4 linked regions of the Lytechinus pictus genome follow. The protein of the gene in region 1 binds, or shares a complex with, the protein of each later gene. Links are inferred from orthologs where the notes say so. Each region holds a gene or a part of one and is shown on either strand. Other genes may lie near its edges.

Region 1 (7,739 bases):
ATTTGTCAGGCATAAAAAGGCTTATCTATACTATAGATTTGTGTCGGAACTTAATCATAGACTTGCCACAAATTAATGAATAATGTTACTGTGTTTAAGTCAAATGGACCGGTCATGGCCATCGTTTGTAACTTGTTGTAAGCAAGACTTGAAAACACACACACATCAGTACCAGTAATCAGTAATCAGTAATCTCAGTACCAGGAACAATTCCCTGCGCTGCATGTACGAAACTGCACGTACGCATACGGATAACGGTATGACGTAACAGTCATTCATTCATTCATGACATGGCTTGACCTATTACTTGAGCAAGTAACTTATAAATAAAACGCATAACAGAAAGTTTCAAGACCTGAAAGTGAGAGAATAACTTATAAATACGTTTGAAATGACTACTCACACGCAGAACAAACACGGAAATGGGAAGAAAAGGGTTTCTTGATGATTTTAAGCTCACAACTTCAGCTCAGTCGCCGACGGCGACGTTCTTCACTGGTTTCGTTTGCGCAATCGCTTCTATAATCTCCTGTTAAAGACACTAGATGGCGGAGTATTTTTTTTTATTTGTCAATTGATATGTTGTTTTTTCCCATGGAAGAGAAATTGGGCAGTTAACTTCATTTCTAATAATTCTAAAAATATTTGTAATATCATTGATATATTTATTTGTTTCGTATACATGTACAAAATCTTGATTTATATAAATTGTGATTGTAAACTTATTGATTTGAAGGAAGAAAATAAAATATTATAAAAAAGAAGTCATGTACAAATAGTAGTAATATTGATGAATTATTCATTAATTTGTTCTTCTGACACACTGGCGGATCCAGGGGGGGGGGGGGCACAGCCGGCCTATATATATATATATATATATATATATATATATATATATATATATATATATATATATATATATATATATTTATATTTCTATGTCTATATATACCATTGCAAAGGTCAAGTCCACCTCAAAAAAATTTTGATTTTAATCAATAGAGCAATCTCAGAAAAGCATATTAAACTGCTGAAAATTTCATCAAAAGCGGATGTAAAATCAAAGTTATCACATATTAAAGTTTTGCTTATTTTTCACAAAATAGTTAGATGCACAATTTAGTCACATACAAATGAGAGAATCGATGATGTCCCTCACTCACTATTTCTTTCGTTTTTTATTGTTTGAATTATACATTATTTAATTTTTTTACAGATTTGACAAGTAAGGACAAACTTGACTGACCCATAAAATGTTAAACAATGGTAAATACAAATGTTCAGGGAGAAATAAAACTTTGTTTCACAGGACAATGGAAAGAAAATTAGAATATTTCATATTTCTTATAATAAAATACAAAAGAAATAGTGAGTGAGTGATGTCGTCAGTTCCCTCATTTTGTATAGGGCCTACCGACAGGGATGTGCATAGAACTATTTTGTGAAATTAAGCGAAACTTTAAAAATGTCATAACTTATTTTACATCCGATTTTGATGAAATTTGCAGTGTCATGCTTGTTGGATTTTTCTCTTTTTATTCAAATCAACTTTTTGTTGGTTGGTTGTCCTTTAAATAAAACTCATGGCAAGTGATATGGGCTTGCTGCACTAGCTGGTGAAGAAAGTGAAAAAGACATGTAAGCGCTATAGCCAGAGGGGGAGGGGACAAATTCCTACACACTCTCCCCTCGATCAATTTGCTCCCTCACAATATCAACCCCCAAATTTCACAATAAATTTTGGGTCCCCTTTGAAAATTCCTGAATCCCTGGGCCCGTATTCCATAAACGAGATAAGCATGCTTAAGTCAAAAATCTAAGCATTTTGTCTTAGTTTTCTGTCTAAGACAAAATTCTTAGCCAAAACGCGTATTCCATAAAGAATTGGCTAAGAATTTTGTCTAAGAATTTGGCTAAGAATTTTTGCGCGACTAAGACAGATTTAGGATGAATGGCTAAGTAACTTTTCTTAAATATGCAGAGTCTGTATTTCATAAATTCTACATGGCTAAGAATTTTGCCCTAACTTTAAGACAGTTGTGAGTTGTCTTAATTGCTTTAAGACAACGTTTAAATCCAACAAATCATGGCCAATTTTTTTTTTAGAATTTATACCTATATTGCATTTCGAGCTACTTCCTCAGTTTTTAACCAATTTTCATGAAATTTGGAACACATATTGGTCTTAAGGTAAGGAGGTGTAAGAATTTTTTTTTTTGCTTTTTCAGAAATTGTGTTGCCATGGTAACAGTATATTATGGCCAAAATTTAAAATTTAAATTACTTCATCGGTTTTCTACCAATTCTCATGAAAGTTGGCTCACACATTGGATTTGAGGAAAAGATGTGCAAGACACAATTTTGCATGTGTCGGAAATTGTGTTGCCATGGTAACAGTATATTATGGCAAAAATTATGTATAAATCTTGCTATTCCAACTACTTCCTCAGTTTTTAACCAATTCTCATGAAATGTGGCACAAACATTAGTCTTGATGTGAAGATGTGCAAAACATATTTTATGCCTATATACAAAAATTGCGTTGCCATGGCAACAAATAAAATAACAAAAACTAGATGAAAATCTTGTAATTTGAATTACTTTATCAGTTTTCAACTGGTCAATTCTCCTAAAATGTTGGCGCACACAATAGTCTTGAGTTGAAGATGTCTAAGATATACTTTTGCCTGTATCAGAATTCGTGTTGCTATGGTAACAACATGTTATATAAAGAAATTAGGTGAAAATCTTGTGGTTTGAATCCCTTTATTAGTTTTACCAATTCTTATAAAAGTTGGCTCACACATTGATTTTGAGGTGTAGATCTGCAAGACATATATTTGAAAATTTGTTGCCATGGTAACAGCATATCAGATCAATAAATGTGTAAACAGCATGATGTGTATTGAACTACTTCTTCATTTTATGACATTGGCCTATATGTCCATAAAATGTAGGTTTTGAGCTAAAATAATCTGCAAGACACATTTTCTCATTCATCAAAATATGTGTTTGTATGATAACTACATGTATACGCCAAAAAAGATTAAGACAATGGTCAATGCTAACTTTTGTTTGGCTACATAGAGAACTACATGTAGCTGAGGGCTTAGTTCTAGTTTTTTTTTTTTTTTTTTTTTTTTGGGGGGGGGGGCTAGACCTCAAGATTTCGAACTACAGCCCCTAGTTTAGATCTAAGCCTAGATCAAGATTCTTTAGTCCTAGAAATAACCCAATGCTAGATCCCTAGCCTACTTCCTTTCTCAGGCCTAACGTTAGATGAGTAGGACTAGACTAGATCTAGCCTACATTTACTATTTTTAGATCTAGAATCTACATTGAGATAGAGTCTACAAGTCTCTAGATCTACACCTATTACTATGACCCTATGTACACCTAGATTGGTATAGTCTAGATCTAGATAGGGTCTAACTTTTAGTCTAAGTGAGTAAGTCATTTAGTCTAGATCTAGGCCTAGGTTAGAGATTTCTAGATCAAACAGTAGACTAGATCAGCCAGTCCTAACGTTAGGGCTACCGGATAGGCTAGAAATAAAATCTAGAATGAATAGAAGAAAGCACAGGCTAGGCCGCCTAGGCCCTACCCTAGATCTAAATTCTTATATAAATCTAGGCCCTAGTCTAGACTGAGCTGTTGCCAGTGTTGGTCTAGGTTTAGGCCTGTTTTCTAGTCCTGGAAACCTAGATCTAAACAAGTCCTCAAAATGTATAAAATAAAAACTCCAAACAAACAGATGGACCTAAAGCAGGAGTAGATCTAGATAGATGTCTAGACTACTACTAGGACTAGATCTAACTTTAGGCATAGTTGGCAAGCAATGCATAATAGCGATATATCTAGCACTGTTGACAGGAATAACCGTCGTTTCTGGGGATTTATTTAAAAGTTTCTGACATTTACTGTCATATCACATTGGTGAGACTAGGCCAACGTAACGTTAGACTGTTTAGTGTCGTACTCGTAATACTAAAATAGCGGAACAACCAAAATACAGTCGGAGACTGAAGCTTTTGGTCTAGGCCTAAGTCAGATCTATTCTAGACCTACATGTAGATCTAGATAGATCTATCCCTGTCTTAAGGCTAAGCCAGGCTAAGTCCTGCATGTTCTAGGCCTAGACCAATACTAATATAGGTCTATCGTTAGATCTAGGCCTAGTATGTAGCTTCAGTCTCAGTTGCTCCACTACGGCACTAGACTAACAAGTCAAAGTTACGTTTTGCTTCAGCCTTCAGGAAAGTAAAAAGTAAAAACAATGTTCAATTCTCCTCCAAACAGACGGATATTAGTTGTAGATCTTGGGCCTAGGCTAGATCTAGGCCTAATGTTAGACCCAAGACTAGTCTCAAAAGTTACAAATGTTTTCCCTTAGACCCTAGGTCTACTTCAACTGAAGTAGAATAAAGATGTCGAGAGGAATCTACCCAATCCCATTTAGATTTTGACAAACAATACATGAAAAGTAATGAATGGGACTGATACATAAAAAACTGTGCAAGTCACTCGGTTTGGGATTGAAATGTTTTGGTAATTAACAAAATATAGAATACACTGAATAAAGAATTCTTACCACATATGGGTGATGAATGCTCTTCTTTTACTACAATAGTTGTAATTAGTTTCAATAAAATCAAACTTGTTAAGAAAAAACAACTTCAATGACATTTTTGCTATTTTGTTGCAGTCACCCCTGCAGCAGTTTAGAAGGTCATAGAATTTGACTTTGAGACTTTGGCTTAGCCATATCGTCTGACTTGAGACAAGTGTCTTAAAGTTTATAGAATATCCTTAGGGAAGATTTCTTAGACAAGCAAAATGCTAAGACAAATTGCTAAGACTTAAGCAAAAAGCTTATCTTGTTTATGGAATACGGGCCCTGAGCCTTAACATTTACGCCCCCCTCAACCGATTTAGCGAATGGGGCCGAGTTTCCGTAGCTGATTTTTCTCTGGGCAAAAAATTTGAGGACCGCTACGACTCCAATTCCGTCTGCAACTGACTTCCAAAGTGAACTTAAAATGACGGGAGAAGCTAAATCTGGCTGGGAATTTGATAAATTTGATGACGGCTCTTTGAGTAAGTATTCAGTATTTATTTAATTTTATATTTGACAAAGTATGAATGTCGAAAACAACTTTGTAAGTGAGTTTGTTCGAGCGGGTGGATCGGGTTGGAGCTCGGAGGCGGATGTTGTTTGGGATCACATGACACAATTGAGGTCTGTGTGTGTAGATTGCACTAGCACTGTACATTCACATCACTGCTTTGACTGTGACTGTGTCTGTGAGGCCGAGGCCGAGGGAGGGTGATGAGCTGTGATGTGCACAGCTAGAAAATGGGACTGTTACAACAACGAAATCATTAGACTTGTTTTTATTTTATTTTATCCAATGATAATCATTCTTCTGGCATCTTTTTTGTAAATAAGACAATGTCTGGGGCGGGCAGCCGGCTGGTTTTTAACATCAAAACGGAATAAAAAAGTGGGTGGTTCCCGGCCAGACACCGAGAGCTGAGAGTGAGAGTGAGACTGAGAGAGACAGACTGACTTCACTTGGTGCTAGACAGCTGGCAGCCGTCTGTTTCGAGGAGTTTTTTAACATTTTTTATTTTTTCATTTCTCTTCGTACACAGACGGCTCGCTATCATGTAACCCAGGGAGCTCCGGCCCGCGCAGCGGGCTGGAGCCCAGGGGCTTACTTTAACTGGTATGATGGGGTGTCCAAACTTCGCGCACTTTTCAAAAATATTCATCAGGCTTAATTTTGTTCACAAAATATTCATAATTTATACAAAACCAAGTCAAGAAATAGTTACCACATTGACGGCAAGATCGTAAACTATAAAATCATGGACGAAAAATGTAAAGTAGGTCAAGGGGTTTCGCCGGTATCGCGATCTCAAAATTCTATTCCGATCGGCGAATGCGGGCTGTGCTGGAAAACCGTTCAGAAAAAGTGTGACCTAACTTCGCGCACCAAAGCTTTTGTGGAGATTCAAACAAAAACTCAAGCTCAAAAAGTGAAATTTTATATCAGATTGATGGCAAAATGCTATGGAATCGGTTTATCTCACATTTTTGATGATTTCTGCTTGCAAAATGGTGATATCGTGATGCTTGTTGATTTCTTCAAAACGGGCGCTAGCGGTGGCAAATTTGCCGATCTTTTGCCAATATTTTCATGAATACTGAACTCATCCTAAAGAAATTTTCACTGAAGGGTAATTTTAGGTCGCTTTTAACGATGATGATGTCAGATTTTAAGGATATTGGCTAGTTTTTGAGATAATGACCGTCCGCGAAGTATGGACACGCGCGAAGTTTGGACTCACTGCCATACATACATAATGTACAGTACTCTATCTGTAGTTTTCAAGATAGTTATGCAGTCATACTGTAAGTCCTTATTCTGTAATAAATTAAAAATGTTATGGTTATCACTATCAGGTATTGATAGTTATAGTTTCAGATAAATTGGAAAAGGTCAAAGATAATTTCAGGTCAATACACTTTGTTAAAATTTACATTTTGTTGATCATTTTAATAGTAATTAATCAAATTAAATCAAACTTTTATGAGATATTTATGGGATATCAAGGATGATATCAAACAAATAATGTGTTGCCAAGTCAAGGGTAACGGTCAGGTTTACAAAATCACTATATTTGTGTAATATTCCATGAAGGTTTTATAAAGGAGTATCATGTGAGCCATCATGTGAGTCAAATGTCAGGTCAGTGGATCAAGGTCAAAGGTCATTTCATGCCCCCCCCCAAAAAAAAAAAAAAAAAAAATGGAGGAAAATTTATATTTTGTCCTAATTTAAAAAAAATTATTTAGTACATTGCCTTATCCTTGAACCTTGTAATTTATAAAGAAAATAGATCTGTCAAGTCAAGTACTGTATGATGGTGGGCCCCAAGTCTGCGCACCTAACAATTTGAGTTAAGATTTCACATGAATTTCTTCTTATTTCACAAAATCTTTCAGTTAATAAGGTTCCTTATATTATCATGAGTAAATGTACCAAATTTCTCATTGAAAAATGAAAGAAAATATAGGATTTTCTTGAAAAAACCTCGGGCAGTCATTTTCAGATTGAAAAAAAAAATGGTACCCCATGTCTGCGCACTCATTCACTTTGCACACGATTCGGGGATTTTGATGAGAAAGGCTGCATTTTGAGGCCGTCACATGAAATGCCCAAATTTCATTATTTTTCCACCATTTTGAGTCAGATTTTTTTATGAATACCTGTCTATGTATTGCATGTGTAAAGTCTGTGTTCGTTGCGTATCTTCTTACTAGAATCGCGCAAATACGCGTGTGCGCAGACAAGGGGGACTGCGCAGACTTGGGGGAACTTGCCATACATGTTTTCACATGAAAGTATATTTAATCAATTGTAATATTTCTAGGGCTAAGTTACTTTGCTATGTACTATATATTATATAGCATGTTTCTTTATTTAAGCAGATATATAGATATTAAAAGGAGCTCTTAAACTTCCAAGGGAAATAAGATGGGCATTGAGGCTAGTCAACTTGGTGCCCTAAACCTTAGCCCTCAGTGGCCTTGGCTTTAGATTAAATTCAAATGATATACTAAAGAGAGAAAATGTTTTATATGAAATTTTCACAGAGTCAAAATTGCTGCTAAAATGAAATTATGCAGGTGAGACAAGACAGCCAGGGGTATATTCTAAGTATGAATGTCC
Region 2 (7,890 bases), on another chromosome or scaffold:
TATAATCTACATGTACCATCATGACCATTGGGTACAAAAATTTGCAATTTCCTGTCGCTAGTAAATACATAACTTCTTTTGACCATAAAATGGCACTTTTGAAGAGCACTTTCCAACTTTCCAGGCCAGCGATAGTTTTACATGATATTGATAAGTACAAACATCAACATAGGAGTCCATGATGAAGGTAAATTTAATGTAACTAAATCTTGGTGACTAGCCAATTTACTCCTTACCGTTTCACAAACACAGGAGAACTTGTTGAGAAACCTGGTTGTGTGTATGATGAAGTGGTTTAAAAAGGCGAGCATTCGCTTGGAGTGTATAGCACCAACCTGAAATTAAAAAAAAAACAGAAGAAAATTTCAAGAATAACAACTTTGTGCTTTTAGTTTTGAATTACAAAAATGTAGATCTAGACAATACAATCAACTAAGAGGATGAAGGGGTGTTTGTGATTCCAGGAAAAAATTAGCAATTTTCACCAACTTGCCCCCCTGCCTCCTTGAACTTACTGAAGCATGAAGATTGAAGGAAGCTGACATGAAGACCTGTAGCTGACAAGAACATAGACCTGGAAGCTCGACTGCTGATTCAGCATTCTTCCAGCCAGTATTTGCGGTAAGGTATGCCTAGGTAAGACTAAGTCACTAATAGACCAAAAGCTTCAGTCTATGTTAATTATGTTGGTTGTTCCGCTGAACTACGTTGGCTCCACTCACCAAATACAGAGACCGAAGTTCTAGAGCGATCTGTACAGGGGAGTAGGGGACTCAATGGCCATATGTTTATGTACTTAAGCTCGGATAAAACGGGGAAGTGAAGTTGCGCGACAGCTGAAGTAAGTCACTGTTTTTCCCCTTTTAAGTTTATTTTTCCCCGTTTTGGTGCATTTCAGGCCAAAACGGAATAATAATCTCTATTTTGGTTCAATTCTTTTTCAATATTTTTGGGTCATTCTTCAATAAGTGTATATTTTTGTGTCACATGGCTTTGGAGTCCCATGAAAAAATATAAAAAAGTTTTCTTATTTTTTACCGCTTTGTGTTGACTAACACGTATGTAAAAAATAATGAAAAATTAAAACAGGTCAAAAAGAAATATCATATATAATTTATTTTTAATTTTTTTTATGGCCACCCCCCTCAAAATTGCATGTCACAATAACATAATGTAAACATAAACATGTGTTGCATTTTTAAAATTATGCATCTTTTTGTAATAATATGCCTTGATAAATTAATTTTTATGAGTTGACAACGAATACCACTCAAATATACACGCGCAAGCAACGATTTTAAGATTTTTTTGTTTTTAAGGCCTATTATTTTGTGTCACACGATTTTGCGTCATCTCCGTCACGCATTTTCAGTGCGCCATCTACAGTACAACAAAGTGCACGGTTTTCAAGATTGTGGTTGCAAAATGGCCGGTGGATAGTACGGAGAAAGAATCGACACGTTTTTTCCCTGATCTCCGGGGTTTTGACATTGTTCGGGCGGCATCTTCGTCAAAAACCAGGTGCGTACCTTTATTCAGCGTCATCTCCGAACGCTTGGTATTAGCTAGATAAAGGTGTTACATTTATTTTCTAATCGTTTCTATGAAAGATTAACGTGCCCACAGAACAGCCAATGCCGCACTCGCGTTAGTTGGTATTGCAGACATTGATTATCGGTGCATATGTGTCTGATAGTCATCTCCGTCACGCATCATCTCCGTCACGGCTCTTTCGTGACGGAGATGATGAGTTTGATTTGAATTATGAACTTAGTTAATTGACACATTGCATGGGCTCATGATAAACTTACGGCTATATTTACAACATGAAAAGTGACCCTTGGCCTTGGTCTGGAGGACTTCAGATCTAAATTGGTACACCGTACAGTACTACAGATATCATTAACTTTACCTTGTCCCACATACCCATATCTGTGTAAGTGCTGGTGATGTCTATTGTGACGGAGATGACGCATTAACAGTGTACATGTTTAAAAAGACCCCAAAATTATAACTTAGTCCCCATAAAGATCGCGCCAAACAGTATTTCCATAATCTACAGATGTACAAATATATTAAACAGACAAAAAGAAAGTTTAGAAATAGTTTTGAATTTCATCATCCCACAATGGTCGAAAATATACACTTATTGAAGAATGACCCTTTTATGAAATAAAGACAAAAATCGATGTGCCCCGTCGGGGGGATTTTGCATTGTTCACCCCCTAATGGTGGCTGCACGATAGCGAGCCGTCTGTGTACGAGGAGAAGTTTAAAAAATAAAAAGATGTTGAAAAACTCCTCGAAACAGACGGCTGCCAGCTGTCTAAGACTAAGTCACTAAAGCACTAAGTGACATGTCATGAACAGAATGGAATTACATCCCAAAGTCAAAGAAACTAAAGCCTGAGAACCAATGGCAATGTATGGCAAGCACAGCTGCAGCATGTAGGCCTACACTCTTCTTTCACTTACATCATTGCAACAAAACAAAACACAGTCAGACAGACAGAGACTAGTCAGACTTTTTCATCAGCTGACTAGCAGTTCATTTGAACATGTTGAAAATTGTCTCACACACACTTTGCTCATTATTTGCTCTCTTATCCAAAAGGTTAATCGATGCAAAAAAAAAGGTACATTCAAGACTAGCTATTTGTAACAAAGCGCCAAAACAAACTGCACTGGGTGACTAGCTAGCTAGCGACGCGACGATTGTACAAAATGACACTGACATGCACACATGTTAATAGGCATGTGGGACCGAAGAAAATTAATTAGTGACGCCCCTAACTTTCTGCTGATAAAAATCGTTTTCACAATAAAATCCTCTTACCTTCGTCAAATCTACTCCTGGTCCTACAAGGGGTAATCCGTCAGCGTCCATCCTGGTTCGAAAATAGATTATTTGTTAACCATTAATGGCGAGTATTGATAGAAAGTCTATTTTTTACTCAGCCTTAGTTTTTCACTTTCCGGTTTATTATTACAGCTAGTTGGCGAGAAGTGGACGCGAGAGGGCTGCAATACTTGCCGAGCGCGAGCGAGCAAATTGTTTTTTTTTCTGAGGGTTGAATCATGGACCTACAAGCAAAGTAGGTCCATGGGGGTCCATGGTTGAATTGAGGGAATTGATCCCATGTTATCTAATCCTTGTTTTGTTCGTATCAACAGGAATATAGTGTGTGTGTGTGTGTATTTGAGTTTTGTCAGACGTGTATCAATCAGATATGATTATTTACGTCTGGGACCGACCTTTAACGTCACCATCCGAAAGACGTGACCAGGGCTCGAACCTCTGCATCAATTTGTAACTTCCCCACAGCTTGGATTACAGGCGCACGCCACAACGCCCAGTATAGCATCCACTTCGTAGACTTTCTAAAGTTAAGAGCATCGTCTTAAACCTAAAAGAGCCGGGTTATTTGGACCCATCTCACAGCCGGGGGGAGGGGGTGCACAGTAGTACTGTGCGATAAGATCTACAGGCTGTATGGTTAATTTTTTGAAATAATAATATTTTCCATTTATTGAATCCTGCAGCTATTTAACACAGATTGAATTAATTATGCTATTTTATGCATGAAACAAACGATTTGCTCTAATCAACTATGTACGGCGCCAAAACTGCTAATACAGTGCGTTCATAGTTTTATTCACAGACTCTTTGTAGGATCCCAATCAAAATTATGTACTTTAAAAAAATGGTACCGCATTTCTTTTCTTATGTATTTTTTTTCCTTATGTATTTCCTTGTTTTTTTCGATGGAAATTGATGCAGACTTAATTCTAATCATAAACAAGACAAAATTCATTAAGTTTAATCAGTTTAAAAAAAATGGTATCCCAATTTTTTCTCATGTATTTTATTTTTTTAATTTCTTATGTATTTCCTTGTTTTTCGATGTTTTTTCTAGGGAAATTGATGCAGACTTAATTCTGATCATTAACAAGACAAAATTAATTAAGTTTAAACAGTGGTAGTGTGCGATAAGATCTACAAGGCTGTATGATTTTTTTTCAAATAATAATATATTTCATTTATTGAATTAATTTTTGCATGAAATAAATCATTTGCTCTAATCGACTATCATACGGCCTCAAAACTCCGATTTTTTTTATTCACAGACTCTTTGTAGGTTCCCGATCAAAATAAAATGTATTTAAAAAAAAATGGTATCGCATTTTTTTCTAATGTATTCTATTTTTTTTATTGTTTTTTCCGATGGAAATTGATGCAGACATAATTCTGATCATAAACAAGACAAAATTAATTAAGTTTAATCAGTAAGAGTAGAAATGATGATACATTTATGAATTTTGGCTAAATACACAATTTGCATTGGATTTGTACATGAATTCACGTTTTTGAGCAGTTTTGGGTCTGACATGCACTTACATAATGTTGCGTAGTATTTCGTAACCGCGTACCTGGGCATCGCAAATTTGGTCTCAAAAGTTGTGCGAGATTTGAAAGTAAAGAGTCAGCGAGCTCGGCGGATTTATCGTGAAAAATGATGGGGCGGCGGAATCCGCCCCCGGGCCTTTCTGGGTTAAGATTCGGACCGGATGAACAATTGCAAATATGTTGTTATATGAAATAATAAGAAAGTTGAAAAAAATTTAAAAAAATTACATTTATACTGTAAATTCTCACAAAGTTCACCAAAATTGAAATGTATTGGAATTATGTATAAGTTAAGAAGTTGCCTTCCTAAATCTGGTACTCTCTATTTACAATAATTCGTTAACATTATCACACATTCTTTACTGTATTGATGTCTGGGGTAATTGCAGTAAATCCAAATTAGATAAACTTTTTAAATTACAAAAAAAAACAATTTATATATGCACCAACAGACATTATCTTTCAGCTTCATCTCATTTATTTCGTAAACTTAATACTTTGAATATTGTCCATCTTTATCAATATCAAGTTGCAATATTAGGGTTTTCTACTTTAAAAAATACTGACAAATAAGATTAGTAAAAAATTTTGTATCAATAATGCTGTACATTGACACAGAATTATATGTAATTATACGTAATTTGTTTTATTTTTGGAAAGTAGGAAAGTCCTACATGTCCTATGTACAAAAAGGTTTATGCTTTAACTCCCCAATAATCTGGAATTTCTATACCGAAATTTGTTCCCACAGGGCACAGGCAAGTCTCTTTCCCTCTTTAAATGAAAATTGAAACAATACTTTTATTCAAAATATTCCTAATTTTGCAGCTATGTTACAATTCTATACACGATTTGTAAAACATTTGTGCTTATCCTGTACGTCCGTTTTCTTAAAGGGATGATCCGGGCTGAAAATTTTTATATCTAAAAAAATAGAGTGAAATTCACAGAGCAAAATGCTGAAAATTTCATCAAAATCGGATAACAAATAACAAAGTTATTGAATGTTAAAATTTGTCAATATTTTGTGAAAATAGTTATATGCACATCATCATGAATATTCATTAGGTGGGCTGATGAAGTCACATCCTCACTTTCCTTTTTCTTATGTTATTATATGAAATCATAAATTTTTCATTTTTTCATACATTGTGTAAATGATGTGTCTCCATTATGATGAAATAAGTTGCGGCAATAAATAATTAATGCACTTAATCAGTTGTCAATCCAATTGTTTTAGTTCTTGGTAGAAAAATTTTGAATAAACATAATTTCATATAATAAGATACAAAAGAACAAGTGGGGATATGACATCATCAGCCCACCTAATAAAATATTTATAAAGACATGCCTAGAACTGTTTCACTGGAATAATGCAATCTTTAAAATTCAATAACTTTGTTATTTGTTATCCGATCTTGATCAAATTGAACGAAATGAAACGAAATTAAATGAAATTTTCAGCATTTTGCTTTGTGAATTTTCCTCTATTTATTGAGATATAAATATTTTCAGCCTGGACCATCCCTTTAATCCATTTACCTTTGTAACCGAAGTTCTCATATTTACTTTGATCATGTTGATACTGAGTAGCCTCCATATTATCATTTATTATTTTAGGAGACTTTACCTCATGCACAAGGCCACTATATATATTGGCTTTATTTAATCACCCTTTTCATTACTGCACACAGGCCTAATAATATTATTGTATTTATTTTAATTTGTTTTTTTTTTGCATGTTTACATTTCAAATTATTGATGTATATATTTGAAGTGTATCTTTTATGTTTATATAATTCTGTACTCATTAATGAATAAATGAACTGAACTGAACAATTTTAAACTTGTATATTTTCACTCCAACGTCAGCGATTCTTCATTACTAACATGACTAATAGCATTCGTTAAAGGACAAGTCCATCCCAACAAAAAGTTTATTTGAATAGAAAGAGAAAAATCCAACAAGTAAAACAGTGAAAACTTTATCAAAATCCGACGTACAATAATAAAGTTATGATATTTTTAAGTCTCGCTTAATTTCACACAACAGTTATATGTACATCCTAATCGGTTTGCAAATGAGGGGACTGATGACGTCATCCACTCACTATTTCTTTTGTGCTTCATGAAATATTGCAATTTTCTCATCATTTTCAAGTGAAAAAACGAATAATTCCTCCCTGAACATGTGGAATTAGCATTGTTTAATACTACATGATTCAGTCAAGTTGTTCCTTATCGTCATATCTGTAAAAATGAAATATCGTATAATAAAAAAAATGAAGAAATAGTGAGTGAAGGACATCATCGATTGTCTTATATGCGTGTCACTGTGCTTATCACTGTTTTGTGAAAGTAAGCGAAACGTTTAAGTGTCATAACTTTTTTTTTATTTTACATCAGATTTGGATGAAATTTTCAGCGTAATGCTAATTTGATTTTTCTCTATTTATTCAATGCAACATTTTTCTGGGGTTCGACTTGACCTTTAATATACTCGCTTTGTTCCTTGGGATTGACATTCATACGGTAGGCACTTATGATCCAAGTTTGAAAGGAGACTCGTAAAATTACGTCAGTCTCGCCGATGAATATTCATTAGATCGTGGTCGTGCGTGTTCAATACACACTGCGTGCAGGCATGCAGATAGTTATATGCGAGGAACTTTGGCTCCAGGGACAAGTTGTCAAATAACGTGTGTGTGTGTGCGTGTGTGTACCATCGGCTGGTAGTATGCCATGCTGTCTAAGACTTCAAACGCGTCGGAGAGAGTGCATGGCAATTCGGTAAAACGAAGTTTCCGATATAAAGAGATAATAAAATAACACTATGTACAGTACGCCCGGGGGGCCACTTACATTGACGAGTGGATACCATATGCGCGACCAAAAAAACACGTAAAAGGGATGTCTTTTTCAAGAGAGGGCAGGTTACGTACGTAACGTGATAAGGGTGTCAAAAACACAAAAATATTGAAAAAAGGGTATCTATTTCCAGTACGTTGAGAGGCAAATGTCAGATCAGGGGAGGCAGGAGTACAATCAGGTTTTTTTAAAGGGAAGAATAGTGTAGAATAAAAGGTATTATATATAGCCAAATGATCTAGGTGAGGGAAGTGAACAATATGTTTTTTTTTTTTAAGAATGAATATACCTTACCTGAATATTATGGTGAAGCCAATTTAAAAGGAGGTGAGGCAAGTTTTAATGGAGGTTTTTAAAAAGAATAAACTGTACTACAAATTATGGTGAAGCCAATTTAAAAGGATGTGAGGCAAGTTTCAATGGAGGATTTTAAAAAGAATAAACTGTATATGGTGAAGCCAATTTAAAAGGAGGTGAGGCAAGTTTCAATGGAGGTTTTTAAAAAGAATAAACTGTACGTATTATGGTGAAGCCAGTTTAAAAGGAGGTGAGGCAAGTTTCAATGGAGGTTTTTAAAAAGAATAAACTGTATTATGGTGAAGCCAATTTAAAAG
Region 3 (8,021 bases), about 42 Mb from region 1:
ATCATTTTGTTTAAAGATCCAGACCGGACCCGAAAATGAAATTGATAAATTATATACCAATCGAAAGCTTATAAGCTACTAAATACACCAAGGTATGCTTTATGCATTTTCACCGCTTCCCAGCTGAGTATTTTGCTTAAGAATATTCCAATTATCGGGTTTCGAACCCCGAACCCCGCTTAGAAAATAGGCTTTATTGTGCTTTTCACCTGCCTCGAGACCGTGACGTCACGTTGTAAGCGTCGTGATTCCATAGGTTTGTACACAGAAAAACTGGATGATTTTTTTGCTTTCCAGATAACGCATTTCATTCTCTTCACTTCTATCACAGAGGGATATCACATATATTTTTACCCACAAGCTTGAATTTATGAAATCTGCAGTTTAGAACTAGTTTTTGCCATATTTTATTTCCTGCTTATTTGGCGCAGATTTCAATTCTATCTGCATTTAGATTATGTATAACAACTTTTCCTGACATAGCAATTTAGGCCCAATAAGAGCCAAACAAAGAAATCACAAAAAAGGTAGTGAATAGTTGTAGGTTTACAACAATTTGAACAGTGAATAATTTTGAGTGCCATTTTCATCTGAAAACAAAAAAAAAAATGGATTCATAACATGGAAATGGAAGAAAATACCCAATGCTTTTGTACACAAACCTATGGAATCACAACCCTCCTGACACAACGTGACGTCATCATTTCCAGGCGACGTGGGGGTGCTCAATCGAAGCGTACTTTGGAGGAGCAGTTTCTTTGATTTTTATTTAATATTTTTAACTATTGGAAGGAGATATATGTAATATTTTTGGTATATTCGTATTGTATGAATCATTACCTTTATTTTGATATATGATTGTTTTTACACCGGTCAGGGTCTTTAAAGAAATGGACATACAGTGTAGGATATAGAGCAGATTGTCACAAGTCAGAGTAATTCATCCCACAGGCAGCTTTTCATTACAAATCATGTATCATAGACAGTTATTTTCAAGAAAACATCCTCAATGTGCGTTACGTAGCTTGGCGAAAGACAAAAAAGAACAGGATGGCGATGCAAACATCGCGGCAAGTCTTCCTGTCTTTTCAAGATTTTTTTTTTTGCATTCTGTTTTAAAATTGAATCAATATCATAGAAATGTCGGAAATGAAACTGTATCCCATTTACATGATCTAGGGCAAGATCTTTTAGAAGGAAGTAGAAATCTCAGGGGCGAAAGTTTCAGTTTTTCGCGGTACATGCACATGAACAAGACACAATCCCTGGCTCCTTGGAGAGTAAGCACACGTTAGTGAAAGATTTTTACTCTCTAGGAGCCTCCTAGCTAGTTGCACTGCGCAGTGAGCAAGTGGAGCTCTGGCAATATATGTTGTCAATAAGTTTTCATTCTACAGTAAAATCCACACATAACTGACAGAAACAATAGTTGCGGTAGACAGCTGGTACTGTGGCAGCTGTCTGTTTCGGGGAGTTTTTTTACATTTTTTATTTTTTTTAATTTCTCCTCGTACAAAGGCAGCTCGCGATCGTGCAACCGCCATTAGGGGTTAACAATGCAAAATCCCCACGACGGGGCTCATCGATTTTGTCTTTATTTCATAAAAATATGTAACAAGAACTAAAATAATATTAGATCTATTCAGTTTTGGCCTGAAATGCACCGAAACGGGAAAAAATAAACTATAAAAGGAAAAAACATTGACTTACAGTCTTACTTTCCTGGTTTACCCAAACTTAATTACATAAACATATGGCCATTGAGTCCCTGTACAGATCGAGTAAGAAATTTGGTCTAACTTTAATACGTAGCCTAAAATTGGTGAATGGAGCCAAAGCCAATCAGCGGAACATGCAATAATCAGAGACGTAGACCGAAGATTTTGGTCTATAGCTGCAGTAGACCAAAAGCTTCGGTCTCTGTTATGTTGGTTGTTCAGCTGAACTCCGACGGGGGGATTTTGCATTGTAAGTCCCCTAATGGTGTCAGCACGATAGCTAGACAGCTGGCAGCCGTCTGTTTCGAGGAGTTTTTAAACATTTTTTTTTTTTTTTAATTTCTCCTTTAGGGGACTTACAATGCAAAATCCCCCCGTTGGGGCTCTTCAATTTTTGTCTGTAATGAATCAAACTTTTGAAAATTAACGCAACTGAAATGCAAATTAATATTCCCTCTCGGCATTAATTGCCAAAAAACGGGGAAAATCAAGTTAAAAGGAACAAAAACAGTGACTTACCTCGGCTGTCGCGCAACTTCACTGCCCTGTAGCTGTTTTATCCGAACTTAATACACATAAACATATGGCCATTGAGTCCCCTGTACAGATCGCGCTAGAAATTCGGTCTCTGTATTTGGTGAGTGAAGCCAACAGAGTTCAGCTGAACAACCAACATAACAGAGACCGAAGCTTTTGGTCTACACGATAGCGAGCCGTCTGTGTACGAGGGAAAATTTAAAAAATAAAAAAATGTTAAAAATCTCCTCGAAACAGACGGCTGCCAGCTGTCTATAGCTGCATCAGCTTTCCCCCAGTCCAAATCTGTACATGTATCTAGTTTGTTTAGGCATAACCTTACTGTCTAAACAATAAATGTGCAAGTCCCTGGCCTTGTCTTTGTAAACTCTTTCAAGGCCAAGGGGGCGTAGATTGGGCGGTACAGTGTACGAACTTTGCCCCGATCCCAAGCCAAGGGAGTCCAACCCGTGTGGCTGGCTTAGTTACGTTACATTGCCGATACTAGTAAGTGTAGAGCATTTAACTTTCATACTACGTTTCACAGCTAATAAATCCATCTGAAATGAGCAATGACTGTTAGCACTTTTCGTTATAAAAATTACTACTTACAATTCACAGAATCGATGAAATATATTATTATTTGGATCCTGCGCAAACGATGTCGGGTACGGTAACTTATGTTGGTCACATGCACAGGCTACAACTAGCTACGTACCGGTACAAGTCTAGCATGTTGACTCACCATCACTTCCGGGGTATATGTACTACTGCATATGGCATGCACTGCACTGCCAAAGTTGACTGAGCTCTGGGTCTGAGCTAGCCGTGTAGGGGGGGGGGGGGGGGGCGCTAGGCCCCACACTCTTGGCTGAAAATTATTATATCTAATAAAAATAAAGTAAAATTCACCGAGAAAATGTTAAACATCGAAAAAATCATCCAAATCTGATAACAAATAACAAAAATGAACTCAGTTGGGCCCTGATATATGCACACCGTACCGTCATGCAGCGCAGCGGCCGGGGGGGGGGGGGGGGGTATGATGTCATGTTTCCACACTTAACTTTCATAAATGTATGTTCTGTACCCCATCTGCGAAAAAAATATGTGGAAACATGCCTGTAACGAGGAACTCAATAATTCATTGCTTGAAATAGACAAAGTTTTAACTGATAAATGTGTTAATTTTATGGTGCATATGCAATGGGACTCGTGTTTAAAAATTGACCCAAAAATATTTAAATATATTGGTATTCTGTATGCCTATAGTTCAATTTCAAGTTCGTCTCTATTTATCCATTTTGTTCACAACTTCAAGTCAATATTATACATATATTACATTTATATAAGCTACTCGTTTACATAAATCAAGCCTCCATTTGACAAAAGACAACAATACTTAAAAAAGGGTATACTACTACTAGTATACAAATAACCAGTATTTAGAATTTCATTCCAATGGACAATGATGTAGTCCCGATGTAGTATTACTTTAACACCTTATTTGAAAGAGCTACTGTATAGAATTAACTAGTATTTCAGTACCGAAAGTTTAGAATTTCATTCTAATGAAAAAATGCGTGAAGTCCTAACATATTGATTCTAAAATACTGTACTGCCTCAAAAGAGGTTTAAAGTTCGTGTGTGTAATCAAATATTTTATTACAAAGAATTGAAAATTACAATAAGTGCATGAAGTATCGAGATATTAATTTAAAAAAAATGTATAGAAATTACTAGTAATCAGTATCTCAGTACGAAAAAGAAATCTAAAATTTCATTCCGATAATAAATGCATGAAGTATTAATATTTATTCATTATAGCTACTGTTTTGATTTCAAATAGGGCTAAATCGAATGTGTGTAATCAATATTTCATTCAGACAAACAATTTTGAATTTCAAAATTTCGTTCCAATACATGTAATAAAAGCATGAAGTATTAACATAGGTTAAAAGACTCTCTTCCAATACCCGTTTTAGAGATTCGTTCCACTTATGGCCAGTGAAAACTAATAATGTCATGAAATTCTTACGACATAATTTCCCTGGGATTTGGAATTCCATCCCTAAATGAATGCAAGTCTGTTAAGTCATTTAAAAAATTAAACAGTTTCTATATCTCAAAATGTATAGGGCCTAGTTATTTTTTCTCTTGTAAATTGACACTTTCTATGTTTTTTTCTGTTTCTTTGTGTTTATTTGTTGTTGTTGTTGTTATTGTTTATGTATCATGTTTAATTCTACATCTTATCGTTTCTGTATACCATGTCATGTTATCAATGTTCTGGGAACTGCGCTTATAAGGCCTATTGGCTTTATTTATGCAGTTCCCCATTTCATTGTATACTCTAGCTTGCTTGTAAATAGTTTTTCATATCTTATTTTATATTTGTTTTTTAATCGAGAATGAAAAAAAAATGCAAATTGAATTGAATAGAATAAAATTAGACTATTGTTTTCTTGTTTCGGGGCACTCGTTAACACGTAAAATGGGCCCTTCTATGGTGAAAGGGGCACAGAACACGTTCGAGAGGGGGCGCATTTTTGCAACAAAATAAATGGCACCTAAAAGGGCAATTGGTAACACATAAAACGGGTCCTCCTCAGATGAAGGGGCACAGAACACGTTCGTGAGGGGCACTTTGAAGTTGGGTAAAAAGGGGCACTGATTCGAGAAAGGGCACTTTCTAACACATAAATCGGGTTCTTCTCAGGTGAAAGGGGTACATTAGAGGTTCGAGAAGGGGCGCATTTTTGCAACAACAACAAAATGGCACCTATGCGAGAAAGAGCACTTGGTGACACCTAAAACGGGTCCTCCTCAGATGAAAGGGGAACATTTACACATTCGTGAGGGGGCATTTTTCTTGCGTAAAAAGGACACCTTTTCAGTGCTTCAAAAAAAGGGGGCACTGTGCCCCCCCCCTGTCTCTTATACGATTTTATTGATGATACCATTGCAACGAAAAGTATAGTATTAAATCTCAACAAGTTCATTATAAGAAATGGTCCCCACTTTAATATATAATGATTTTAATGATAATTGTCTTAATTCTCACTATATTTCTTTGTATGTAATGTGTTTTATACTGTAATTGTTTGATCATGTTGCTACAATGTACAACAATAATCAGTAAAAAAAAATCAAAAGATGAAAACCAACAAAATAAACAGCAGCAATGTTTATTTGAAACATCAAATCAATTGACAATAAATTCTACTCACCAAAAACTCGAAGTCCTTACAATATACCGTATATTATTAAGGAGATCATATACTGAAAAAAATAAGTTATATGTTGTTTTTTAATACTTGTAGAACATTAACGGATGTTGCTAGGGAGACTATTCCACATTATGGGACCAGTTAAACTTATCTTTCTTCCTCCTCTTGTCTTTCCTCGTTTTGGTCCTCTCCTTCCTCCTCCTTTTTTCTTTCTCTTTTCCCCTTCGTTCTTTTTTGTGCCTCCAATATAGGGCGTGGCCACTTAGGCCACTGGATTTATATGCCAGGGGCACAGCCCCTACCCACACACACATACACAACTTTTAATCACCCAATTTCGTCTCAATAGCGTAAATTTTGGGGGCACAATTTTATTAATAATAACTTCTCATCAAGCGCTCTTTCAAAAAGTTACAAAGCGCTATACAAAAACTTAAAATATAACAACACAAAATGAAATACTACTTGCAATATATCAAAACAAATAAGATCTGAGCATCTTCTGAAACACATCAATATAAGGACGTTGTTTAAGTTTATGAGGTAATGTCTGCATTCCAATATTTTGGGGGCAAACACAGAAAATTACATATCACCTTTTGACCTATCTCTCCATAAAAGTAGGGGGACCAGGGGCTGGACAATTTGACAAGCAAAAAAAGAAAAAAAAAGAAAAGGTAATCACCCAAAAAGCAACGTCATCTCATCCAAAATACATGTTTTATTTCGATTTTTAATGATGTATTTCTTTCCACCAAAAATAGAAGGGGGACATGTAAAATGGTTACACTTCGTAATTCCGAAGGTTCTTTATTCCGAAGGTTCGTAATTCCGAAACACGTAAATTGGCTATACCTCGATGTTCGTTAATCCGAAAACGTAAAAGGGTTCGTTAATCCGAACATTTGTGGCGTTATTCCGAAGGTTCGTTATTCCGAAGGTTCGATAATCCGAAAACGAAATAAGGTTCGATGTTTCGAAGGTTCGTTAATCCGAAAACGAAATAAGGTTCGTTGTTCCGAAGGTTCGTTCATCCGCAAACGAAATAAAGTTCGTTGTTCCGAAGGTTCGTTAGTCCGAAAACGAAATAAGGAATTACGAACCTCATCATTCTTTTTCGGATTAACGAACCTTCGGAATTACGAACCTCACTTCGTTTTCGGACTAACAAACCTTCGGAATTACGAACCTCATTTCGTTTTCGGACTAATGAACCTTCGGAATTACGAACCTTCAGAAATACGAACCTTCGGAATAACGAACCTTCGGAATATCCGAACCTTCGGAATAACGAAGCTTCGGAATTACGAATGTATTCGATTTGAAATCGTGTCCCCCTACCATTTTGGTTAGGGGGACGCGTTCCCCTGTCCCCCCTGAGATTTCCACCCATGCCTATTGACTGATTGATTTGAATGTCCGTGAGATGTGAAGAGAGATATATGTGATGATTATCGAGTGTTGTACATTAATTGGCGAACTCTTAGGAGGTGTGACAGGTATGGTGCAGGAGTTTCCTCAATCATGTCAGAGACTTGTGCTGAATTCGATTTTTTACTTTCAGCTAGTGTAATCGGGGGGGGGTGTATTATGATGATTGACAGTAAATGACCCTTGTTGCTTTATTCTGTAATTTCTACAGACGATCTAGGTTATTAGAGGTGACACCATAATTATATGACTGAAGTGGTTTAGGCCTATAAGATAATATGACAAATAAAATAATGATTGAAATAACAATTTCCCTTTTGATCAATGTGCCCTATAAGGATGAGTATCTGTAGGCTCATAGGCTTTGTCTATAAAAAAAAAAAAAAGAGGAAAACTCAGAGGGGTATGGAGTATACTCCATCTGGAGGTCAGTCTTTTTGTCGGCGAGAACTAACTTATAAATCTGTTGACAAAGTAAACACATTATACATAAAGCTTGTCCGGGCTTTTAATTGCAGAACCTAAATTATTAGAATATCATTCAATTCAATTTATTAATCATATTATCATAATATAGGCATAAACACTTCATTCATATATGTTTTTTTTTTCTTCAACTGAAGGGCCCTGTCACCATGTAAGTCCATGCTGTAACCACTAGCGTATCTACGGGGGGGGGGGGGGGGGGGCCTGACGAGCTTGAATACCTCTATTGATAACCTTTTTTTTTTTTTTTTTTTGCTTGTCAAATTTTTTGGCGGACGGTTTTGCCCCCCCCCCGTGGAAAATCCTAGGTACGCCACTGGCTGTTACCAACACGATACACATATGGCCTATCTGTTAACATATTATTTTGCGTTCTTATTGTCAATTTATTTCATAAATTAAAATGGAAGGGTACTTTGTCGATATATTTATACGTAAGATATAATATTTTAGGACAGGGGTATATAGATCGATGTTGTGATAGACCTACTTTTAATGAGATTTCAGGGTTGTGCAAACGAATGTTTTCTTTCATGTTTATCTCCATTTACACAGATGTGAATTAGCACGCATGGTCATGGTGGTGTTCAATTTTTTTTCTAGTAAATAGGATGTTTGCAGATATTATGTATCAAATTGT
Region 4 (7,324 bases), on another chromosome or scaffold:
TACCCCAAGAAAAGACCAGGCGAGTACTATTTATACATTTTTTCAATTTAGTAATATCTAGAGTCTAATTTAAGAACAGATTTCGTCATGGAGCTCCATGGTAAGATCTAGTAATTTAAGTCCAACATTTAATTCGCGTGCACTCACTTTTTTAACACAGGAATTAATAGCCTTGGTGCTTAGAGTGATTTAGAGCTAGATCTTTTAGAAGGAAAGTAGAAATCTCGGGGGTGAAAGTTTCAGGTTTTGGCTTCCATTGTGTGGGTCTATGGGATAGAAGGCCTGGCTTCATGAGAGTGACCTTACGTTAGTAAATGATTTTTACTCTCTAGAAGCCGCCTGGCTACACTTACGCTAAAAGTAAAACCAGTTTAACGAGGCAAAGCGATCTTGAAAACTACATCGCGAGGTGGTTTTCCAAACTGGTTTGCAAGATCGCTTCGACCGTTCTCACTACGCGTTAAACTAGTTTCCACTAAACTAGTTTCCAGTTCTTGTTCTTGTATATTTCCTTCCTCCGGTCTTCGGAGATCGGCGGCAAGCCGCAAAGTTCAGGTCCTTTCTTGTTGGTGCTGTCGACATAGGTGGATTTTTAAGATGTATCTTAGGCAGTGACATGTCAGAGAGGAAGCAGAAGAGGAGGGCAGAGAGTGTGAGGGAAAAAGGATGGAGGATGCAAGGATGAGGGGGTCATTTCCAGTGAAATCATTTAGGATGTGTGCAGGCAATTCAAGGTTCTCAACATGCTGTAGTAGGTCCAGACGCTGCGTCAAAAGGACTGGACATGAGGCAAGAAAGTGGGTAGTGGTTTCTTCCTCTAGAGAGCAGAGATTGCAGGTTGGGTCTGTGCTCTTCCTGATGGTAACTAGGCGTCGTTGTGTGGGATAGGTGGACGTAAGTAGCTGAGCGCGTAAGATCACAGCTGATCGAAGATGGGTCGGTAGTGAAGAGGGGTAAAGTGACGATATCTTGGGGAGCATTGAGAGGTTACTCCATAGGCTGAGGGATGAGAATTTCTCAATGCACACTCTGGCTTCTTCCATTTGGGCATCATACACTTTACTCCTGCACAGAGTTTTCCAGCGGTTGTATGAGAAATCTTCAGATAGGAGAGAGGTGAGTGAGGGAAGGTTGTACTTAGAGAGCAGTTTATTCCAGTAGATGATAGTAGGAGTCTTGATGGAGAGGGCATGGAGGAATGAGCGAAATTCAAATCTACTATGGTCGATGTTGAAGAGCTGTCCTATCAGAAGGAAAGTGTTCAGTTCAAATCTCGCGGGAGAGGTGAAGTAGGTCAGTTAACAGGAAGATAGAGATATTGGGGGCAGATCTCGGTCACCCAAGGGTTCATTACATGCCGCCGCGCACAGAAAATTCAAGCCATAGAAGTCGTGTGTTGTGGACCCAAGAAGTGAGATCCCAGCACGCGCGACCCACTAGTTAGAAATCCACTGCCAAACGCGGTTCGTGGTGCGAGGTTAGTATACTAATACTAACCTCGCAATACGTGTGAGTGGATCTCGGTAGACCCTAACCCAGAGAGCTCCGGCCCGCGTAGCGGGCCGGAGCCCAGACGCTCAGTGTGCAAACGGGCATTCAGGTGAGAGTACCGTGAAGTTTGGTCAAAATAATTTTGATAATAAATAATTAAAACAGAAATTAAGCACTTACCACGATTGTATGGATGATAGTCTAACGAGTGGCAGTTTCCTGACATCGAGGCACAGACTGGAACCTCAAAAAACGATCAGTTCTGTCGCGGTGGCTCTCCTTCTTTCAAAATTCATAGCAAAATGGCCGTTCGAGAGGGTGTAGGGCGCATGCGCGAATTTGACAAAGTCTATATGCGCTAGTGCTATACTAGCCTCGGTCTCGATCGGCCATTTTGTGTTGAATTCTGAAAGAGGAGAGCTACCGCGACAGAACTGATCGTTTTTTGAGGTTCCAGTCTGTGCCTCGATGTCAGGAAACTGCCACTCGTTAGACTATCATCCATACAATCGTGGTAAGTGCTTAATTTCTGTTTTAATTATGTATTATCAAAATTATTTTGACCAAACTTCACGGTACTCTCACCTGAATGCCCGTTTGCACACTGAGCGTCTGGGCTCCGGCCCGCTACGCGGGCCGGAGCTCTCTGGGTTAGGTAGACCCAAGAGTTTCTTGAAAAGGGAGTGTTGGGCAGAGTCAAGTTTGTTGAGTGAGGATTGAGTGAGACACAGGAGCTGTGAGCCATAGTAAACTAGTTTTAGGAACGTAGTAAGAACAGCCTCTTTAAAAGCTAACCAAACATAACATGAGAGTCGACGTATGGGACCGAGCTTAACGACTTCCAGGTTCCGCCCCCACACAACTTCATAAAAATATCTTTAATGAGACAGGATGAAAAATAAATGATTGTATGAAAAGCAAAAATGCATACTCACACATTCAATAAATGAGCTCACTGTATCAAAAATAGAACTGGAAATGGGAAGATCTAGTAATTAGCAAGAAACTATCTCAGACCCTCCAGGGAGCGGCCATATTGAATCATGTGAATGTAAATTATCGAACAAAATTCCGAAACGAAAAGATCCGAATTCACGACCTCTTCGCGGTCGCGGCGCACGGCTATATATACCGAGCGCTAGCGTCGTTGATCCAAAATGCTCTACTTTTACCTTTCTAGATTCTCTAAAAGTTCCACAAAGTTTTCATAAATTATTCACAGAGAGTGTTACTCTACAATTAAAAAAATCAGAATTCAACTTGCATTGCAAAGACAAAAGAGAACAGAAACTAGCAGTTTTTAAAAGTGATTTCCTGTGATCCCTTCATAGATTAGAATAGGCCGAGTAGGCACTTCAAAAGATAGGACTCACTCAGGCCGGAAGGAACTAATTTTCACTCAGTTTTCATCAGGGGCACCAACTGGTTGTATGTTTCAAATGAAAGAAAAAGGCAACCCTGACCGACAATCGGCTCATGAATATATAAACCCCTCTTTCCGAATCATAAGAGTGAAAGGAGATCCGGGAAGGAGATATGTTTTGACCGTGGGATTCACAACTGTAGGAAGAAAGGAATCACGGGCATTACGAAAGCGATTCTACAGTGCGTATCAAAAAAAAATTAACACTCTGAAAAAGCCCTGGGAATTAAAAAAATATACAACACGTGGGTAATTTTTCACATATAACCTTTGGGTCTCTTCTATCCAATGAAAGTAAAAGTTTGACAGAATGTTGCACTTGAGTGAGCACTGTCCATTTTTGTAAAGCTCGCAGAGATCTAGCTGTTTGCACAGAAATGCCCGTCAGTTTCACGCTGTGTCAAGGGGAAAGGGCGAAATCAAATTTACCCTGCGAAACATTTCTCATACATTTCCCTTGCACTTTTAGTCAATTGAAATACAACAGATACATTCAAGCATTTTGTAACAATTTTGCCACCCAAATTGAAATTTCAACACTTAGTAAGCACAACTTTTACCCTTTTTGTGCCAGCTGGATCTGAGCTAGGACATAACTAAATCTGAACAAAAGTTTATATCAGACATCTCCAGCATTTTTTCACTAAGTTTTTATCATTTAAAGTGGGTTTACATTTCAAATTTCATTTAATACTTGTTTTTCCACACCCTTTCGAAGCTTGACAATGATTAACAAAATGAAAATCAAGCCTAAAAATTAAGCCATTTCATGTAAATCACAGCTCAGTGTAGAGCAAATATCGCCACGATGGCCTCAGTGTGTGGGGGAGTAGGGTGGGGTGCAATCAGGGGCGGAAATCTCTCCCAAAAGGTAGGGGGGACACAGGGGCGGATCCAGCCTTCGCCAATAGGGGGGGGGGGGGGGCGGAAATTTGTTTCAGCCATATTTTCCCCGATCGGCAGCTCGAAGATGATTTTTGTTTGTTTCTTTGAAGGGATAGTCCTCATTAGTCACTTCTTAGCTTTATTCTTATTAATTAATATATAATATCATAATCCTTATTTATATGATGCGAGCGCGAAGCGCGAGCTAATTTTTTTGGGACATTTTCACCCAAAGAATGGAAATTCTAAGCGCTTTTTGTAACTCAAGCAGAATAGGTATATAAGTAAACAATTGATGCGAGCGCGAAGCGCGAACGGAAAATTTCGAGATTTAGTCCTATAATATTTACTGAACGAGACACTCTATTCACGTTTTGTAAATCATGAAAAGGATGAGTATTAATAATGCGAGCGCAAAGCGCGAGCAGAAAATTTTTATATACGTTTTGAACTGGTACCTGTTGAAAAGGTAGCTGTTAAGGACTGCTTGCACTTAGCCATGAAGGCGTTACATATTTTCAACAATTAAAAGATGCGAGCACGAAGCGCGAGCTGAAAAATTTTGAACTTTCTAAAGAAAGAAAGGAAACTTTTAATCAGTTTTTGTAATCGTGAACAGGATAGCTATATAATTTAATAATTGATGCGAGCGCGAAGAGCGAGCAGAAAAAAAATCAAGATTTAGACCTAAAAATGGGCCACTCTGTTCATGTTTTGTAAATCATGAAAAGGATGAGTAATATGGGGTCTTCCTACATTAATAATGTGAGCACAAAGCGCGAGCAGAAAAATAGTGATATTGTGATCTGAAACTGGATAATGATTTAAATAGAGAACAAGTTGAGTATCTGAATAAACATGCGCGCGCGTGTTTCATATTTAGACCTAGAATCTAGGCATTCTAAATACATCTTCAATCATGAAAATCATGAAACTTTGATATTCCGATCTGAAAAAAAGAGTCAAGTTCAGCTTTATATTTCAAGCACTTTGTAGAAAAATTGTAAGGTGGATATGGATCGCACTTAAAAACCGGAGCTGATATTTTCATTATTATTACTCTGAGTTTTGACATAGGACCGGGACATCCTTACAACATGTCATCATATGAAAATGATGACTATCTTCCTATTCCTCTTGCTAAGCGAGATGAAACAAAAGGGACAATTTGATTATTAAATTAATATCATATTTATTAATGCCCGTTATATGAGGGCGCGAAATCTGATGATATTATGGCATAGAAAGTGGACATTTCACTTCTGTAATTATGAATAGGATGCATCAGTTAATGTATTTTTAACCATTAATGCGAGCGCAAATTGCGAGGTAAATTTTTTGATAAACTGTGTCATGAATAGGGGATTATAAGTAGTTTGTTGTATAATCAATATTGAAACATATATAACTCGCCAATCAAAATGCGAGCGTGCAGCACGCTAGCTGATACGTCTTAACAATCAGACCTGAAAAGGGATATTTTGAAAACTTTATGAAATACACGAAAATAATAGGTACCTGATAAATCAAAATTTGCGAGCGCGCAGCGCAAGCAGCAAATGTTAATATTCAGACCATAAAACTGACATTTTTACAGAGCACTTTTTAAAAATCAATTTGTAAATCACACAAAATAATGAAAGTTCGATTTCCGAGGTGAAATATGTTTTGTATATTGACTTCCAAACTTGACATTCGAGCTCCATATTGAACAAGATATTAAATCACCTAACAGGTAATGCGAGCGCGAAGCGCGAGCGAAAAATTTTCTATAGTGGCACGAAAGATTATTTTTATTTTTCAAGTCTTCCCCTCATCTTATTTTATGCACTCGTCGTCCTTCTCTTCTTTTCTCCTCTCTTTTCCCTCCTTTATTCCTTCTTTCTTTCCCTTTTTTCTTTTTTTGCTCCGCCAAGAGGGGGGGGGGGGGGGGGGGGGGGGGGCGGGCCCCTCGGCCCCCTGGTCCGCCTACGGGGACAAGAGGCGGGAAATTTGACAAGCAAAAAAAAAGGTTATCATCCCAAAAGTAAGGTCATCTCGTCCCAACTCGTCCCAAAAAATACATGTTTTATTTCGATTTAGAATGATGTATTTCTTACCATCATAAAAGACCAAAAAAAGTAGGGGGGACATTTGATATTGTGTCCCCCCTACTATTTTGAGTAGGGGGGACACGTCCCCCCTGTCCCCCCCGGGATTTCCGCCCATGGGTGCAATGCACTCTTCGAAGTGTGTTGGACAAGGAAACAAGTTAAAAAGGTAAAAGGTATCTTCAAACCAATTTTACTAGCTAAATTCAATGTGTTCTTCATAATTAAGGTCTACTTTTATTCCCATAACTATTTCAAAGTTCTGCGCAAAACATTTTTCACTAAGTTTTCAAAAGTAAGTGGTGCTCACTCAAGCGGAAATATTTTCGACAGTTATATCGTCATTTGCCTAAATGGATCTGTACCAATGTTAAAATGTGGAAAAATCTTCAGGATATTACAAATGTATAATTTTACAGGATTTTTTCTAAGTGTAAACTTTTTTTGATACGCACTGTATATTCTCTGTAGAATAACTTATGGGAGGGAGGGGGTGCATGAAGCCGAACGCAGATTTTTTTCCTGGGGTGGGTGGTACGTGGGGGGGGGGGGGGGGTAAAACGAATTTTCCGCTCCCTACAGCCATGGGTGAGAGAGACTAAAGAGATTTTATTATTAGACCAGAAAGGGGGACATTTCAAGGACTGTTTATAGGAATCCATGAAGAGCAGACATATCTCACTAATGCGAACGTAAATACGGACTGGAAATGATTTATATTCAATCACATAAAATAGTCATGAAAAAAGCATATGTCACTTTATAAAACAATAATAACTCGAAGTGCGAGGAAATAGATTTGATGTATATGGACTTGAAAACGGGATGTTTTAGTATTTTTTGTTTTGTAGTGATCTTTATTATTCATTCAAATAAATTTCATACATACATAATCAAGAAAATATAGAACAAAATGATAATTGCAGCAGTGCAATACACAAATTAAATAACAGTGTAATAAACAAAGCAGGCAAATTGTAGAAAAGAGACATAATCCGAACTCATGCAAAAATAACATTTCAACAACTTATGTATGCAGCTATAAAGCAAATAATAAAACAAAGACGTAACAACTACGCAAATTTAAAGAATGAATGTATATGAGCATTCTCCCGTCCCATGAGCCCCCCCCCCCTATCAGACCCCAAAGCTGAACAAACTAACACACCAAGTATGGCAGGATTATATATATCTTTAAACAGACAATGCGATCGAGCACCACTGAATGATGAACACATACAGTATGTCCTATAAGCAAATAATATTTCATAAAGTTATGAAAAATATTTCTGTAATACTGTAATATAATATACAATAATTTCTTTTCCCCACTAGGTTTCAGGTGCCTAAAATGCATGTTGAATGATCTTAATTCATAATCACGTGAAAAAAGGCAAATGAAGACCACTTTTTTTTATGTGTTCATGATATTTTG

The links.
Region 2: WASH complex subunit 4-like (region 1) and WASH complex subunit 3-like share a complex: the UniProt entries of both Drosophila melanogaster proteins name them as parts of the WASH complex. The link is inferred for Lytechinus pictus from reciprocal best matches to the Drosophila melanogaster genes SWIP and CCDC53.
Region 3: WASH complex subunit 4-like (region 1) and WASH complex subunit 1-like share a complex: the UniProt entries of both Drosophila melanogaster proteins name them as parts of the WASH complex. The link is inferred for Lytechinus pictus from reciprocal best matches to the Drosophila melanogaster genes SWIP and wash.
Region 4: WASH complex subunit 4-like (region 1) and WASH complex subunit 5-like share a complex: the UniProt entries of both Drosophila melanogaster proteins name them as parts of the WASH complex. The link is inferred for Lytechinus pictus from reciprocal best matches to the Drosophila melanogaster genes SWIP and Strump.

What each region holds. Positions count from the first base shown.
Region 1 is NC_087247.1:32,109,908-32,117,646, reverse strand, and holds the start of WASH complex subunit 4-like, read left to right. Parts: upstream 1-4,731; 5' UTR 4,732-5,039; coding exon 5,040-5,097; intron 5,098-7,739. UniProt on the Drosophila melanogaster protein: Acts at least in part as component of the WASH complex which may regulate wash nucleation-promoting factor (NPF) activity and is required for its membrane targeting during endosomal sorting.
Region 2 is NC_087263.1:2,398,231-2,406,120, reverse strand, and holds the start of WASH complex subunit 3-like, read right to left. Parts: upstream 3,006-7,890; 5' UTR 2,888-3,005; coding exon 2,837-2,887; intron 336-2,836; coding exon 237-335; intron 1-236. UniProt on the Drosophila melanogaster protein: Acts at least in part as component of the WASH complex which may regulate wash nucleation-promoting factor (NPF) activity and is required for its membrane targeting during endosomal sorting.
Region 3 is NC_087247.1:74,320,099-74,328,119, forward strand, and holds the start of WASH complex subunit 1-like, read right to left. Parts: upstream 3,001-8,021; 5' UTR 2,847-3,000; intron 1-2,846. UniProt on the Drosophila melanogaster protein: Acts as a nucleation-promoting factor by activating the Arp2/3 complex to induce actin polymerization. Participates in both linear- and branched-actin networks.
Region 4 is NC_087261.1:28,106,271-28,113,594, forward strand, and holds the start of WASH complex subunit 5-like, read right to left. Parts: upstream 3,007-7,324; 5' UTR 2,865-3,006; exon of another isoform or gene 2,427-2,864; intron 1-2,426. UniProt on the Drosophila melanogaster protein: Acts at least in part as component of the WASH complex which may regulate wash nucleation-promoting factor (NPF) activity and is required for its membrane targeting during endosomal sorting.